Linked DNA regions of Styela clava. The protein of the gene in region 2 purifies or fractionates together with the protein of the main gene of each other region. This does not show direct contact. Links are inferred from orthologs where the notes say so. Each region holds a gene or a part of one and is shown on either strand. Other genes may lie near its edges.

Region 1 (7,801 bases), on a different chromosome or scaffold from region 2:
TAGCGCCAAGAATAGGTAAACAGTGCAATACAAAACAAACACTTCTTTATTGTGAGAACACATTTTGATCAGTATTTGTCATTTATCAAGCTATAACATGCAAAATCCACCAAAAAACAGGCTATAAAGCTACAGTATGCAAATAAAAAGCATATGAGGTGAAGTCCAAAAACTGTGTCATGAATCTTCTTTAGATAATGCAAACATAAAAACCTTATATAATTCTGCTGGAAAGTTAGTCTGATGTTCTTCTTTTACAATCTTCATTCCTGCTTGTTTGAATATCCCTCGTAGTTGTGCATGTGTTCTTGTGACACTGCTATCAACTTTATCCCATTCCACATCACCTGATGAGATATTGTCTTTCAATATTAGCAGACCACCAGGCAAAAGTGCATTCTGGCATTTGCGTAAAAATTCTATAAAGTGAGCATCCGTCAAATGTCCTGCATAAATAAAAAAAAGAATTTACGGTACATAGTTTTCGTATAAAGGCTGCTATTAAGTGAAGTTTTCAAGACAAGTGTTGAATATGAGAGGCTAGAACTAATAGAAAGATAAAAATAAAATTTAAAAAACATGTCGTTTTGTAACATTTAAAATTCTATTTGAAAAGTGGTCAATATCAGCAAACAGTTGCTGTTAAACAACAGGCTTGGATTGAGCATGATGTGAAATATTGAACTGTGGTGTGTTACAATGATAATGCTGGGAGCAATTAACAAATAAGTGGAAAACAAAGTTTCTGTTTACGGTAGACAACCAACAGGTAAACATGTTTAGCAAAAAAAACGTGTCACAATTTTTGATTTAAAATTAGCAAAATTCTGTATATGTGGTGTGTTACAATGATAATGCTGGGAACAATTAACGAATATGTGGAAAACAAAGTTTCTGTTACTGGTAGACAACCAACAGGTAAACATGTTTAGCAAAAAAAACGTGTCACAATTTTTGATTTAAAATTAGCAAAATTCTGTATATGTGGTGTGTTACAATGATAATGCTGGGAACAATTAACGAATATGTGGAAAACAAAGTTTCTGTTACTGGTAGACAACCAACAGGTAAACGTGTTTAGCAAAAAAACCGTGTCACAATTTTTGATTTAAAATTAGCAAAATTCTGGATAAACAACATGGCCCACAGAATCCAAAGAAAATATGAAAAAATATCTTTCTAGAAAACAGATTATAATACAAACTACTTCTTGAAAACGCACCTGTTACCCATTGCACCCAGATTAAATCATAAAAATTTGGCTTCAAATTTACATCCTGTAATCCAGCACAGATATATTCTCCCACTTTCTTCGACAATTCAGGTCCTAAATAACTCGGTGCTTGCTTGAGAAATTCACCATTTTGTTCCAGAAGGTCGACAGTGTCAAAAATGTGCAAAAGAAATAATTTGGATACTCTTCCAATTCCTGCTCCACAATCTAATGCTCTCTTATGACGTAATCGCGGATTTGAACCCTGAACAAATATACTATACTTGAATATATGGTGGTAAATGATTACCAATACTTGATTCCTCCTCTAGATGAATGAAATTTCCATACTACATGCTAAATTTTTTTTTTATATAAAATTATAAAAGCAGACGATTGTTACCATCTTTTTTATAATGTTGAATTTTTTCCAACACAATAAGGGAACAAGAGCAATCATCGTTGAAAAAAATAGAATCTCATCGGTTGGGTATTATTATCCATTCATCCATTTAATAATGTGAGAATAGTCTTACTGTAATAATAGCAAAAATTGCTGTCATGCCTGTGTTAATTGAAGGGCTTACATTTTAAAGCAATAAACTGTGAAATAAATTAAAAATTATATTTTTTAGTGGCTATAATAATCCTCAAAATAAATTATTAAGTTATACTGAACACATCTTGGGTCTGGTACAGTTTAGTACCACATGCACTTCCAGTCGGCCTGGCTCAACAATTTTTGCATATGTCAATCCTAACCCCCACCTGACTACGTCACCGAAAAATTACGTCATTCCAACGTCACAGTGGCGTAACAAGGCCCACTAAAGTATGCAGATGGTCGTGCAAAGCGCGCAGACGATCACCGGAAATCGAGCAAGCTATTTCTCTCGTTTTCTTGTCACAACGATCACGATAGGAGAGAGAGATCGCCGGCATTAGCAAGTTCTTTAACTGCGGTGCAGATGCCATTTCGGGCGATCATAATTATACTTTGGCAAAGGCCTATGAAGTGGTGCCGGCGTAATGAATGACGTAATTTTCGGATGGCATAGTCAAGTGGGGATAGGAATAACATATGCAAAATTCGTTATGCTACGCCCACTGGAAGTACTTGTGGTACTAAACTATACTAGGGTCTCGTGTAGTTTCGTACCTAACGTACTTCTAGTGGGCTAGCATAACAATTTTTTGATATGTCAATCCTAACCCCGATCTGACTACGCCATCCAATTACGTCACTACGACATCCCAATCACGTCATAGAGCTTGCCAAATACACGTACAATCGCCCGAAATGGCATTGGCGCCTGCGATAAAGAACTGACTGACGTTATAGATCTCTTTCCTATTGGAATCGCCGCGACGAGAAAACGAGAGGAATAACTGTTCGATTTCGGGTGCTCGTTTGCGCGTCTTGGATGGCAGTTCGTATAGTTTGAAGGGCTCTATTACGTCACTGTAACGTCGTGTTGACGTAATTTTTGGATGGTGTAGTCAGGTGGGGGTTAGGATTGATACGTGAGAAAATTGTCATGCTACGCCCACTAAAAGTATGTTAGGTACGAAACTACACGAGACCCCTGTACTAGACCCCAGATCTTGACATCGTATTTTGTTTTTCTATTGGCTAATTTATTAGTTATAAAAATAGCAAAAAGCTAAAAACAAGTGATTTCTACTGGTAGCGAGTGATAACCTCCTTCAAAATATGAGTCAGTACAAGCAAACCTGTAGAAATTCTCTTAAAAATTTTCTAGAACCAAGAGCATCAGAAGTTGAGATATGGCTATAGCCTCCAAGCATTCCATCCAGGGTAGGTGTTATTGTTTTCCAGTATTTGTCAGCTTCCTCGTAAAAGCTTTTTTCTGAAGATACCTCCTTACATCCTTTGATCAAGTCCATCTCTCACCGGTCATTGCAACCAACGTTTTGACAGCCGTTTCCGCCACGCACACCACCACCGCGTGAAGTCAGCGGAATCACCTTGAAGTTTTGTAACCACAATTCCTAGCAGTGTTCACTTTCAAAATATTACATTCGGGGTACATTAACAAGGCTTATAAAATGGTTCGAATAACTTCAGTACTGTTTAAAAGCGCCAGAAGTTAACAGTTTAAGCAGCATTTTGCTGTAACTTCAATGCTGTTAAAAAGCATCAGTCGTTAATCATTTAGGAAGCATTTCAGCGCAACTTCAGACCTGTTGAAAAGTATCAGTTGTTAAACGCTTAGGTAGGGCTTCACCAAAACTTCAATACTCATATTGGAACTAAATTTTTTAGAACGCCCCTTATAACGGCATTCGTTAAATATCGATAGTTTTTGCTTTATATCTTTCAAACTAATATGGATTTTCTACGCTCTAAAGATAGGTTTAATTTAATGAACGGTACTTTTAAATATTTCAACTGTTAATGTGTCGATATTAAACGAAAAAACGAGACAAAATCGTAATTTTCACGGAGAAATGCGGATTACTTTTATCATTTTGAAAATATTTCTATCTCTAACGTCCGATAATTTAAAAAAAACAGAACTGAATTGGTTAAACACACCTATTTTTATATTTACCTACTGTATTGTACTTTCATTTCAAAAGACAAAATTTCTACTCCTAATGTTGCATATTTTAGCGCACAGCTACTGGCATTTTATGGGTTGCTGTTAGAGAGTTATCCTATTTTCGAGGAAACCTCTTGGTACGCAGCATCATCCGAATGTTTAGAAATGCTTGGTGCTCTAAAAAATGATCTACGATCAAGATAATGAAGATCCAAGCAATTCAGGAAGGTAGATGAAAGACACATGAATAATTCAGAAAATCTTTATTTGCCAAGAAAAACAACAATGGAAGGACTAGAACCACTAGAGTACTGCATTAAATTTCATTATTATGAAACGGGAAGTGACAAACTAAAAAGTAAAACAGTATACAAATAGCAGAAAACTTGTCAACACTCGATTGGCATTTTCAACGTATAACTTATAAACTGTCTCGTTGCTGTTATATTTCTCTCACAAATAAAGTCTCCCGAAAGCTACATAAACATCAGGAATATAAGACATTACTATATTGCACGCTGTGTTAAAGCCATACATCTAATATGTCTAAAATGCACAAAAATGTTTAGTGCTTTGCTCTCAGAATTTCAGCAAAATGAAAACATACTAAAAAAAACAAGTACGTATAGGACTGAATCATAGAGTCAAAAATTATAGGGCCAACACAAAAATCAATCCTTTTTAATTTGCAATCAAGGGAGAAGTAGAAAAATTAGGTGAGACCGCTAAACTCTCTGTGGTTATTGAAGCAGAGTTTCTCAAACTGTGCCTTCGGCTCCACCAGGGAGCACACTCAGCACAGAGAGGTTATCTGAGGCCACAAGCAAAAGCCTTCTCATATATACCATTCATGACTACATAATTTGAAGCGAAGATTCATTTATTTCTTCGACTGCAATACATATATTCTTTCACTTCCGTTAAACATGGCGCATAAATAAATTATGTAAATGCGTTTAAAAGCAAAATAAAATATTTTTATAAAAGAGAAGGCGACCACAGATTATGATAACCACCACTCCGTGGGTTACGTGCCTAGCATTGAATGCATCCTGCCTATTCACTTATTGCACTGCAATCAGATGAGCTGTAACTGATTGTATAATCATTCAGAGGACTTGATAGTTACATACATGATTTCTTTTTGTCATTCAATTACAGGACTGCAACATTATTTTGCGACTTTTTTCTAAATTTCGAACAGATAAACATGGACAGTACTCAATTCCACATTGAAAATTTGTGAAGCATATGTAAAATCAGCAAAATGAAATGAAACACAGTAACTCTTCATCATTGTCCACTGACTATTACTTTTATGCAACCATTAAAATCAGCAGATACAATTACGTTGACTTCTTGCGGATGTTTTTTGGAAGATAAAGATAAAATAGATTGCGGTTTTGATTTGGTTTTTGTCTCTGTATTATTATCAGTATCGTCGTTTTTGTATAAAAGCTGTGGATGAGGAGCAAAGACGGAACAAGTGACGACCGCATCATGAGCTGCAATGAAAAATAAGGTTACATTTGTATATTCATTGGAGAAAGAAATGCTTTAATAGATTTAAATATGGTATATCAAGTCAATGTTATTATTATCATGATGAAGGCAAAGACGATAAGAACAACCATGTCATAAAGAAAACTGCAGCCTCCTGCCCAGTTTGGATATGGAAAAAAGCTAATCGGTAAAAGTTAGCTGTACCTGGACAGCAAATGTTGGCAATCCTTTCCCTCCCTATGAAATTAGATCCCATAATTCACAACTAAATTATCAGACATTCAGTTGCAAGTGGGTTGTAATGCTCATATTCTGATGTGAGCCTGATTATATCTCTGATTATATAACTGTGATAGAAACATGTAAGCACTGTTTTGGAAAGCGATTTTATTTCATTCGATACCTTTCATACTTTCCCAGGAGTCATTACGATCTCTTCGCAGTGATGATAGTTTAGTTACATCCTGTGGTAAACTGGTTCTCCACATGTACACACATTTATCTTCTGATCCACAGATGATGTACTTTGAATCAGGACTAAAATAACAAAACAACAACTTGGTTGAATTGAGCCTACAAATTCCATTATAAAGGAATTCCAGGCTTTTCAAATATACCAACACTTCAATACCACACTAATATTTAAAAAAAAAAAATAATCTGTCTGAAAATTTCACATGAGTTGAATTCAAAATAATGATGTCTAATTCCTCAAAGAGATAAATGCCAACATTTTGTAGAAAATACCCCATAATTTTGATACTAACATACATGAGAAACCATAAAATTATGAAACTTTTTTCATCAATAATTTGCCTCAAAGAATAAAGGCAATAAAGAGTAATAATTCCATACATAGAAACGATCAACACCTCAAGATGACTATAAATTGGACAGCGCTTAACATAATCATTGAGATACAGACAGACGATGTTAGTTTGGCAACAACCAATCCATGTTCTGAGCTAACAACTAATAAAGAAGTTGTCATTTTTAACCAAACCAGCCTAACCGAGTGCAGAATATTATACAAATATGCATAATTCAAATATAATAAAAAACAAACCTGAAACTGGCTTTAATTTGACTGCTAAGATTTGTGTGTCCTTTGTATTTACAAACTAATGACAAATCTCTCAAATCATATAGACGTACTCGAGAATCATTTGACGTTACCTAAAATGATAGTCAAAAATATATTTTATCCAGTGTATCTAAATATTTTTTAGCCTTTGCAGATAATATTCTCTGAGATGAGGAACTTTGAAAAAGGGCAGAGCATGGTTTCATTATGAGGAAAAAACATTTATTTTCAAAAGAAATTCAAATATGAGTTGACTAAAACTTATCACGAATCTAACAGCACCAAATACAAGAAATGGGTTCTTATTCTTACCAAAATTTTATGTTCTCCTTGCAACGGTTCTATTCCTGTAATTTTGTGACCTTTCGTATTTCGACCTCTGGATGACCGAACATGGATTTGTGTGTGATATTTCAAGTGCTAGATGACAAAAAAGGAATAAATTAATTCCCTTCTACACATCATTATCATAGTGCAATCATTATCCATTTCTAACATCAACTGAACATAGCAATAAGGAAAGTGAAATATTGTCAAAGGCAATGAAACATACAACTCACCTCTGTATCAAAAAATATGCATCTTCCATCATAAGTTCCGCATACGGCAAATTTACCATTTTCACAAAAATTAACTGTTGTGATCAATGCTCCTCCAACAGAGCCTGATGACTAAAAATATTAATACTTTCAGAAAAACTCATATAATGATAAAAAACCTTAACTTGCTATCGAGATAATAAATAAAACTGTTAAATAGTGCATACTATGTTAAACAGATGTATTTTTTCGAAAACAGACACTGTCAAAATTTCATTTATAAACTCAAGATTTTCAACATACGGTGCCAAGCATGGGCAAGAGTTACACACCTTTCATGCACATAGTTACATACATAAAATGTCTGACAGATAATGAAAAAATTGATGATGACGAGCAAGATGCACAACTCGCGAATGAAAATCATTAATCTTAAAAACGCTTCAAAGGACATCCAGATTTAGAAAGGTAGAAAACAATGTTTATAATTCAATTTTAACATACTGATGATCCATCAGGAGATACTTCATTCCACAGTGCTACTTTCTTGTCTGGTATATTCCATAACCTTAGTTTGCTGTCTAATGAACCACTCAGAAAATACCTGTCATCCTGAAAAAAACAATACAATATATTATCAGACAGGCAAAAACCCTGCTGCAACAAAATTATTCGACAGTTTATATAAACAATGACAAAGCAATTACGACAAACTCATTACCCAATGAAATTTTTGATGGAGGCTCTGTCTGAACAAGCTGTCATAGTATCAGAAGGGTCAATAGCATACCAAAATGACAACAACCTGGTGAGGGCTATAGCTTGAACCAAAATCTTATGACCCATCATGCGAACCTTCACCTTTTCGTCGTGTTAAATACAAACTCAATCAACA
Region 2 (7,999 bases):
TCACAAAGATTCGGGCCGTCTTAGAGTAATTTACAAGGATCATTTTCTCAGTAACTGTTTAAAAGCAACGCAATAGAACGCCACCTCATATAGTATGACGACGTTTACCAGAAGAGACCATGATGTAACAAATCGCATACAATAAAAGGGCAGAGTAGCGCGTGCATTGCATTTGCTAAACTGTATCGCCGACGATGACGAAACAATGTACAAACTAGCGAAGACGGCATACTAAGCATAGCTCTTGTCCTGTAAACTATGACACTTTTAATTTAATTTCGCAGTGGTGATAATACGAACCTAAAGTTCACTTGATATCTAATATATATATTAGTTAGCGTAGATTCGAAACGTCGGATTTCCGCAAATCCTAATTTGATATCCGTGCGAGATTTTAGTATCAAAAATCCGCTGGTATTTCTTTTAGCTAGTTATTGTCAATTGCGATCTTCGCACCTGACGCACGTCCTTCCTGACTCCTTTGTTTTGCTGGGTAGTATTTTATTCTATGGAGTGCATAGAACCTCACGTTTCACTCTAACAAGTTCTACGGCCTCTTGCCATGTCAGCATGCATATATATTACTAATACTCTGAAACGATATAATGCGTAATCCAAGCACGACCTAGCCAATACAACGCTATATTCGTATTGCGACATAAGCACAACATAAACAAATGTCTTTCCTTCATTACGCGCCATTCATGCATTTATCGTCAAAAATCAGTGCAATGTGGTGCGGAAGAACGCCTCCCACACAGTAATTATCACACGGCATCAGATATTTTTCAATATCTAATTACTTGAAGCCACACCAGAAGAACCCAATACCGAATGGTATGCCGGTATCATGATTAAATAAGCCCCGCTTCAAATCATATTGTATACACAATCGCAACAACTTGCACTTTTCGCTAGTCTATATTCGACTATTCAAATACAGTTGTAAAATGTATTGAGACAGTGATATCTGCGGTACAAAAAGCAAATATATTCACATTTTCGAAGCATCAACGACTATCTGCGCCTGGTAATGCTACTTTGATGTAGTTAATAACAGTATTTAATTTTCCCCCACCTCGTCAGTGCCACCTAAAACGAAAGACGAAAGATCTTTGAAACATTGAACAATTATATTAGATTATAACCATTGTATTATATCCATATATATAAGTTGACGTAAAACGGTAAAACTTGAATTGTTTTGAATTTATACAGCTACAGGAAACGAACACCTCTTACACAACACCACACTTCCTAAATGGTCTCTGTCTAACATACAGTTTCCATTCAAAACAAAGTATCTCCTCTGTCGTAACTCTATCTTTTTAAAACGAGTTTGATATACGGACAGCCAAGTTTTCTTTGAAAACGATATGCCATAAAACATCTTTATTTTTAGAATATAAAATGACAAAACGGAGGTTCATTTTGTATCCAGTCATTAAACACCAAATTCATTTTACTTGCTTCTTACGATATAATCTAATAGTACTGATTGTAACTGAACCTATAGTTAATGACTATCGAAAACTAGTAGCAAGCTTGCCTACATTAAAGGAAATAGCTGTGATTCCCGTGAGTGGACCAAACATACGTTCGATCCGTGTTCAATGCTATACGTGACTTTAAACTACCTCTGTGCTCTGATCCTTTTTCAATTAGACATCACTGTATCATGATCTCTTTTTAGTCATATGCACTGTGTTGAAGTTGATGCTCTCTGAAATCCCCCTACTTCACATACGAATGTATACAATACATAATCGTATATATATATGATTGGGTTAGTTATACAAAATAAACATATTAACTAATCAATAAAACATTATTAGTGACAATAGGTGACCGTACATTTGAGCCCACGTACATTCGAACCCTCGTGTATATCCGCGGGTTCAATCTATGTGCGGGTGCTAAAACCCACGAGTTAGGGTTTGTATGGGTTCAAATATCCGTGAAACAAAAAAAAAATTCAATGGTGCAATAGTATGCAAGTGCATAGGTGACAATCACCTACTACAAACTACAGTTGTGGTAAATCAAGAACTTAGCGGTAAATAAAACGTTTTAAAACATTGCGCGACTGATCGTCAATAGAAATAAAAGATGTCAAATTGAAAAGATCTGCATCATTGCAGTGATTTAACGCTCGCTAAAGGTTGTCTCGATGTTCAAATTTGTATTACCTTTAAAATCGTGATTATGGGTAACTTCTAAGAGTGTGTTATGTATTCATAGCTAAGGTAGTAATAGCCTACAACAGTGACAATCCATCAATTTATTTTCCAAAGAATAGCTAACGTCGCACACGTTAAAATATTTTACTCAGCAAAGGTCACTGATGAGTAAGCACGCTACGAAAGGTCACTGTCGACAGCAACGGCGAAATGCACATCCCTTATAGTTATACTTTAAATATGCTGAAATAGTTTACCTAACTAAGACGTACCGGAAAAAAGGAGGGTATGAGGAAATGCTAATATATAAAATAACGTTCCCTATACTATCAGAATGACCAATAGTTAAATAGTTTACTGATTTTTCCAGTATTAACCCAAAACGTTTCTCTTGTTATTACCATACTAACCACACACGTCTCTACTCTCTTTCTATGTCCCGTGTGGTCTTCACTCACGGCCATTATCCGCTGACTTCAATAGTGCATTGTAATTTCGTATATCTATCATAGATTGCACTCTGGACAGCACTTCCTCTTTAAACCTTGTTTCTAGTGTCATGTTCTGTTTATTGTATAACCTCAATCTATCTAGCACTCATACATCGATTCTTGTTACGTATGACTAAGCACAGTTGCATGGATGAATTAAACAGCTCACCATTCGAATTTACGGCGTGGTCTGATTCACTCTACTACTTCCGGTCGACTTCTGGCGCCTTCCATTTTATCCTATTATACAAGTTATGTGCAAGTTCTTGAGATGTATCGATACAAATTTTGCCGATGTTTTACCGATTTTTCGGAAATCGGGAAATGCCGAATTTTTAAGTATAAAGGATAAAAACAGACGATATTTTCAAATAAGTTTAGAAATGTCGGTCGGTAAAATTACTAATGCAATGCATGTATTACCAAAACGAACGATGTGCCAATATACCGGCACATATCTGACCCACAGCATGACCAAAACTCAATATGAAATGTAACAGCAAAGGTCAGATCGGAAAAATATATTTTTGCAGTACTAGATTTTGTGGCAGTTTATGCATTAAAATCGATTGAACGAACATTTGTTTGGATAATCAGCTAAACATGGAGTTTTTTTTATTTTTCATTTCTCAGTCAAACGTTATATTTTCAATTTTAAGTTCGTACAAAGATGAGGCGGACTTCAACAGGACAGTATCATCTTCAAATAGCGATGAACAGAAAGTATATGCAGCTGGAAAATCATTCGTATAACATAAAAATAGCAGAGGGCCAATTGTGGAGCCATGTAGAACTCCGCATTTGATGATGCCCATTTCAGATACATATTCGCATTCTGAACATATTGCTGACGACCACGCACATATGACGCCATGAGATTAAGTGTATGCCCTTTAAGCTTTAACACTGTAATGGCGTAATTTATTAAGAAAGATTAAGTGGTTAATCGTATCAAATGTTTCCTCAATGTCCAAACAAATTGCGCAGGTGATCTCGTTGTTTGCACTGTTATTCAATATCATTTCCTTAAGCTTAGATATACCTACCCGTAGTTCAATTGAATAACTGTTTTTTAAACCAAACTGGGACAGATTTAAAGCGCTGTTTTTCTCAAAATAAAAAACTTTGATTCGACTATATAAAATATCCTCATACATTTTCACAACTTTCGACAGTGAAGAAATAGGCGCGTCGCTGTGACTCATCGTGCCAAGCGTTAGGAATACGCACGCCACCGTACCTCTGATTACTCTGCGTGGGTTCGCAGTTTCGTATCCCATACGGGGAGGGTTAGTGCGAGATGAATGTTAGACTTTTCGCCGCCGTGGGGTGGTTCACGTAACCGCTGGTCGGTTACGGCTTCCTCCACCATCAAGCCCATACTTCCGAAAACAAATAACTAACTAATCCCATACTCGACATGGAATGGTAACCGGACGAGAGACGAAATAATAGGTATGTTATCTTAAGCCGTCTAATCATTTTTATGAAGTGGCACCACCTTTGCTATTATTTAAATCTCTGGGTACACACTTGCATGGAAAATTTGATTAAAAATTGGGAAAAAATAGGTGACAAAACAAATTTGGCAATTTCGAATTTTTTACAGGTATTTCATTGCTACCGGCATCTTTACTTTCATTCAATTTATCAATTTGCCGTTATCCACTATAATATGTGATGGTAATTTGATTTTCTTTGATGAAGTGCCAATTATTATGAGTATTTGATTTCATGTTTTAGCAATGTAGTTTTGGTAGCGAGAAAAGACGTTTTTTATAACCATGTTTGTTCGTATGTATATATATGAAAAATGCTATCCTTAAATCCTGATGAGCTAGCACCATGTCATAGTCATAGTCAAGTTTATTTTTTCCCATTCAGTAAAAAAATAACATACGAAATTAACAAAATACGAAACTGAAAACACATTTTTACTGGGGAAGGGAAGTCGCGGGGAACCAGGAATGGTTATCGAGCAGCGACACCCGGCAACCGCCGAGCTACTTGACTACGGAAAATTTAAAAGCAGGTTAAAGATTACCTTACCGCGGTTTATACAACAATATTAACAACCAATATTCAAAAGCCCTAATTCACTTTGAGTCGAATAAAGCATAGAGTGGATATAAAAAATAAGTTGAAATTGCAGCTCGTGACGCCCAGATACCATTTTGAGGCACCTGAAAATTTGTAGTGGCAGATACCGCGGCGTGCTTTGTTCTCGAGAATGGTGTGGTGCCACAGTGCCACACATGCTAGGTTCAAAGGCTAGGTTGGTGTGTTACTTCTCTTCCATGCGAGCCGGGCTTCGTAATCAGTAATTTATTTTTCCACCAATACTGAAAACTTCAGAACTTCCGTTTTTACTTAATTTTTGCATCGCTTGCGTCATCCGTATAGATAATGTCTATCCTACAAAAAATTGCAGATATAGAGTCGGAGGTGAGTGAGTATTCCAGTATGTATGAAATGTATGTATGAAAACCTAAAACGTCCAGAAGAAATTGAAATTTCGTGTAGTTTCGTACCCCAAGTGCGGTACCGGTGCATCTGGCGCATAGTGGGTGTAACGATGTCAATCCTAACCCCAGAACCCCCATGTTATGCTACGCCCACTAGAAGTACCTGAGGTACGAAACTACACGCAGGGGGCTGCACCACCCACATGTTTTGTGTCATTGTCCTATCAGTTGTTTTATGGGGTTTCAACAAAATTGCACAAAAGTTACACACAAGACTTAGAACTTAGTGGATATAAAATATATAGTAAAATATAGCGTGACACTACAGGGCGGCAAGACACACAAGAATTAGAACTTAGTGGATGTAAAATATATAGTAAAATATAGCGTGACACTACAGGGCGGCAAGTCCACCCTGCGTTAATGCTTCGTTGTGTTGTAAATTGTTGCGATAGTACAGCCGGAGCCCATAATATTTTCTGTTGCAGTAGTTCAGTAGTTGAAGGACGCGTCTACTGCTATATGTGATGCTAAAGTTACTTAATGTAACACTGTAGATCCATGCTGGTAATGTGCTCTACGGGACATTTTTTCACTCCGGAACCGCAGCCTCTAACATCTCTTAAAATTTTGGTAATAAATCTTTAAATAGGAGAAAACATGACCTACAGCACTGCAAACTCTTAAGTCTTATCAACTTAAGTTCAGTACGTCTATTTGAAATGAAATAACTGTAGGCCTACCAGATAATTAAACGCTTCGTGTTATGAGTCATCACAAAACATGTCGATTATATCAAAATTTCTACATTTCAGGCCACTTTGTGTAAATCATCAAAAACCTGAGGGAAATTCTGACTTTTGCGGTGAAATGAACGCAGTCCAATAAAATTCAAGTGTCCTTAGATATAAAAAATACAAAACAATTACTTTCCCTACACTTTTGAAAAAATGGATGAAATTCAACAGTTGCTGAGTATGGCCCATATACTGCTATGCAATCAATTCTTAGGCATGTTTAAAACATCAGTACATACAGACAATCAAGATTGTTTTTTAATACTGCAATAGCCTCTGTTTTTACATTGCTAGATGGCAAGAACACAGAAGAACAAGGCAACTGCTGGGCATCTTGGACTTCTCAAGGCCAAACTCGCAAAGCTTCGAAGAGAGTTAATCACACCAAAAGGAGGAAGTGGAGGAGGAACAGGGGAAGGTAATTTCATTCATAAGCAACCTACTGACCTAACGTGATATAAATGTAATTTCGAAAGTCGCCTCTAATAGAATTTCATAAAAACTGAAATAAGATTCAAAGGGTCTTGATGATTACTGAAAGAGTTATGTATATTTTTAGTAAAAGTGAAAATCAACTTGATTTCAACCTCTGGATTATTCGAAAAAGCAGAAAGAGGATGGGCGGTCATGGTTGTTAATAATCATTGGTTCGTGTATATTACAAACACATATGTACGTGATCAATAACCTATATCAGTGGTTTTCAATGGTTTTGGTGGAGTGGAACCCAACTGAATCATTCCAGAGACTTGAGAAACCCTTGTGTAATCCTTAAATTGCAACTTTAATAATAGCGGTAAACCTAATATGTAGGATATATGAATATATTTGAAAACCAAATATAGATTCTCTGATTTGAATATAAACTTTTCGAAACCATGAACTGTGCTGCCTGGAACCCTGGTTGTGAACTACTGATCTAGAGCAGGGGTTCTCAAACTTTTGGTGTTGCGGAGCCCTTGGAAAGGTTGACTATTATTCACGGAGCCCCAAAATAAATGTTAAAGTTCTTACTTTCAGATTAATATTCCTGAGCAAGTTAAAGGTACTTTACTTAATTTAAATGCTGAACCTTAGAGTTAATACAAGTCATACATAAATCTAAATTTGAAACATAAATTATATATACACTAAAGCTGTAAATTTGACACTTGACAAACATATTGATAAATAAGGGGTCGAATCTTTTCCCTTTTGACATTTTTGGAAGACTTAAAAGGCCGCTAATAACATGCGCAATTGCATTTTGTTACAATCGCCAATTTTTTTCGTCAGCATGGCGTGTCTTTGAACCTTTTAACATCTTTACGCCGGTGTTTATTCTCCCTAAATCAAAAATTTCCCTCGGCATATATATACATGTATAGTTACACAATGACGACGTTATTCGCTTTTTTGTTCTCGTGGGGAATTATGAGTTCAATGTGAAAAACATGTTACCATATTATAGTCATCGTTACGAAATGCTAAAAATAATAATTAATAAAGAGATAAATCCGCAACTCAAATTTCTTGATTGAAAAGCGGCATTCTAAAATAATAAAACTAAAACTTAAAATGGAAGATCACAGGTTTGGTTTCAGCAGACTCACCTCAGATTGAAAATGTATTTATAGACATTGTAAATCACAAAAATTGGTGTTATGTTAGGTTTTCATCGTAGTAACTGCGAAATCGAAAAAGAGTCAATTGTGCGCGCGTGCGTACCTTTTCCCCCATTATGAAACTACCGACGGAGCCGCACGCAATCAATTGTGCGCGCTCCGCGATGTACCTTTTTTTCATTCTGAAACTACCGACGGAGCCGAATGCAATAAAATAAATTTCAATTGTTCGTTAAATGCTCGCATCGGTCATGGATTAAATATTTTACGCAATAGAAATCTCGTTATCCGTTTTTTTTTAATCGCGAAGAATGTTGCGCGGAAATTTCCGATTCCAATTTTGAACCACCACCCTCTTAAGAATCCTGGCTGCGCTCCTGCTTATAAATAATGTAATTTTTTAATTCCGCCTCTTTGCCATATTTCGAGGCTATTTCGTTGTCAGATTTTATCAAAGCTGTT

The links.
Region 1: the proteins of developmentally-regulated GTP-binding protein 1-like (region 2) and N-terminal Xaa-Pro-Lys N-methyltransferase 1-A-like purify together in Homo sapiens (affinity purification with mass spectrometry; 3 studies listed by BioGRID and IntAct, counting the BioPlex papers as one, with this or other methods). This does not show direct contact. The link is inferred for Styela clava from reciprocal best matches to the Homo sapiens genes DRG1 and NTMT1.

What each region holds. Positions count from the first base shown.
Region 1 is NC_135257.1:16,046,785-16,054,585, reverse strand, and holds the start of N-terminal Xaa-Pro-Lys N-methyltransferase 1-A-like, read right to left. Parts: upstream 3,282-7,801; 5' UTR 3,122-3,281; coding exon 2,948-3,121; intron 1,479-2,947; coding exon 1,223-1,478; intron 447-1,222; coding exon 178-446; 3' UTR 1-177. Other genes in the region: WD repeat-containing protein 44-like, read right to left, coding at 5,074-5,285, 5,687-5,820, 6,350-6,459, 6,680-6,787, 6,928-7,038, 7,411-7,518. UniProt on the Homo sapiens protein: Distributive alpha-N-methyltransferase that methylates the N-terminus of target proteins containing the N-terminal motif [Ala/Gly/Pro/Ser]-Pro-Lys when the initiator Met is cleaved.
Region 2 is NC_135252.1:4,172,819-4,180,817, forward strand, and holds the start of developmentally-regulated GTP-binding protein 1-like, read left to right. Parts: upstream 1-4,922; 5' UTR 4,923-5,077; coding exon 5,078-5,116; intron 5,117-6,227; coding exon 6,228-6,351; intron 6,352-7,999. UniProt on the Homo sapiens protein: Catalyzes the conversion of GTP to GDP through hydrolysis of the gamma-phosphate bond in GTP. Appears to have an intrinsic GTPase activity that is stimulated by ZC3H15/DFRP1 binding likely by increasing the affinity for the potassium ions.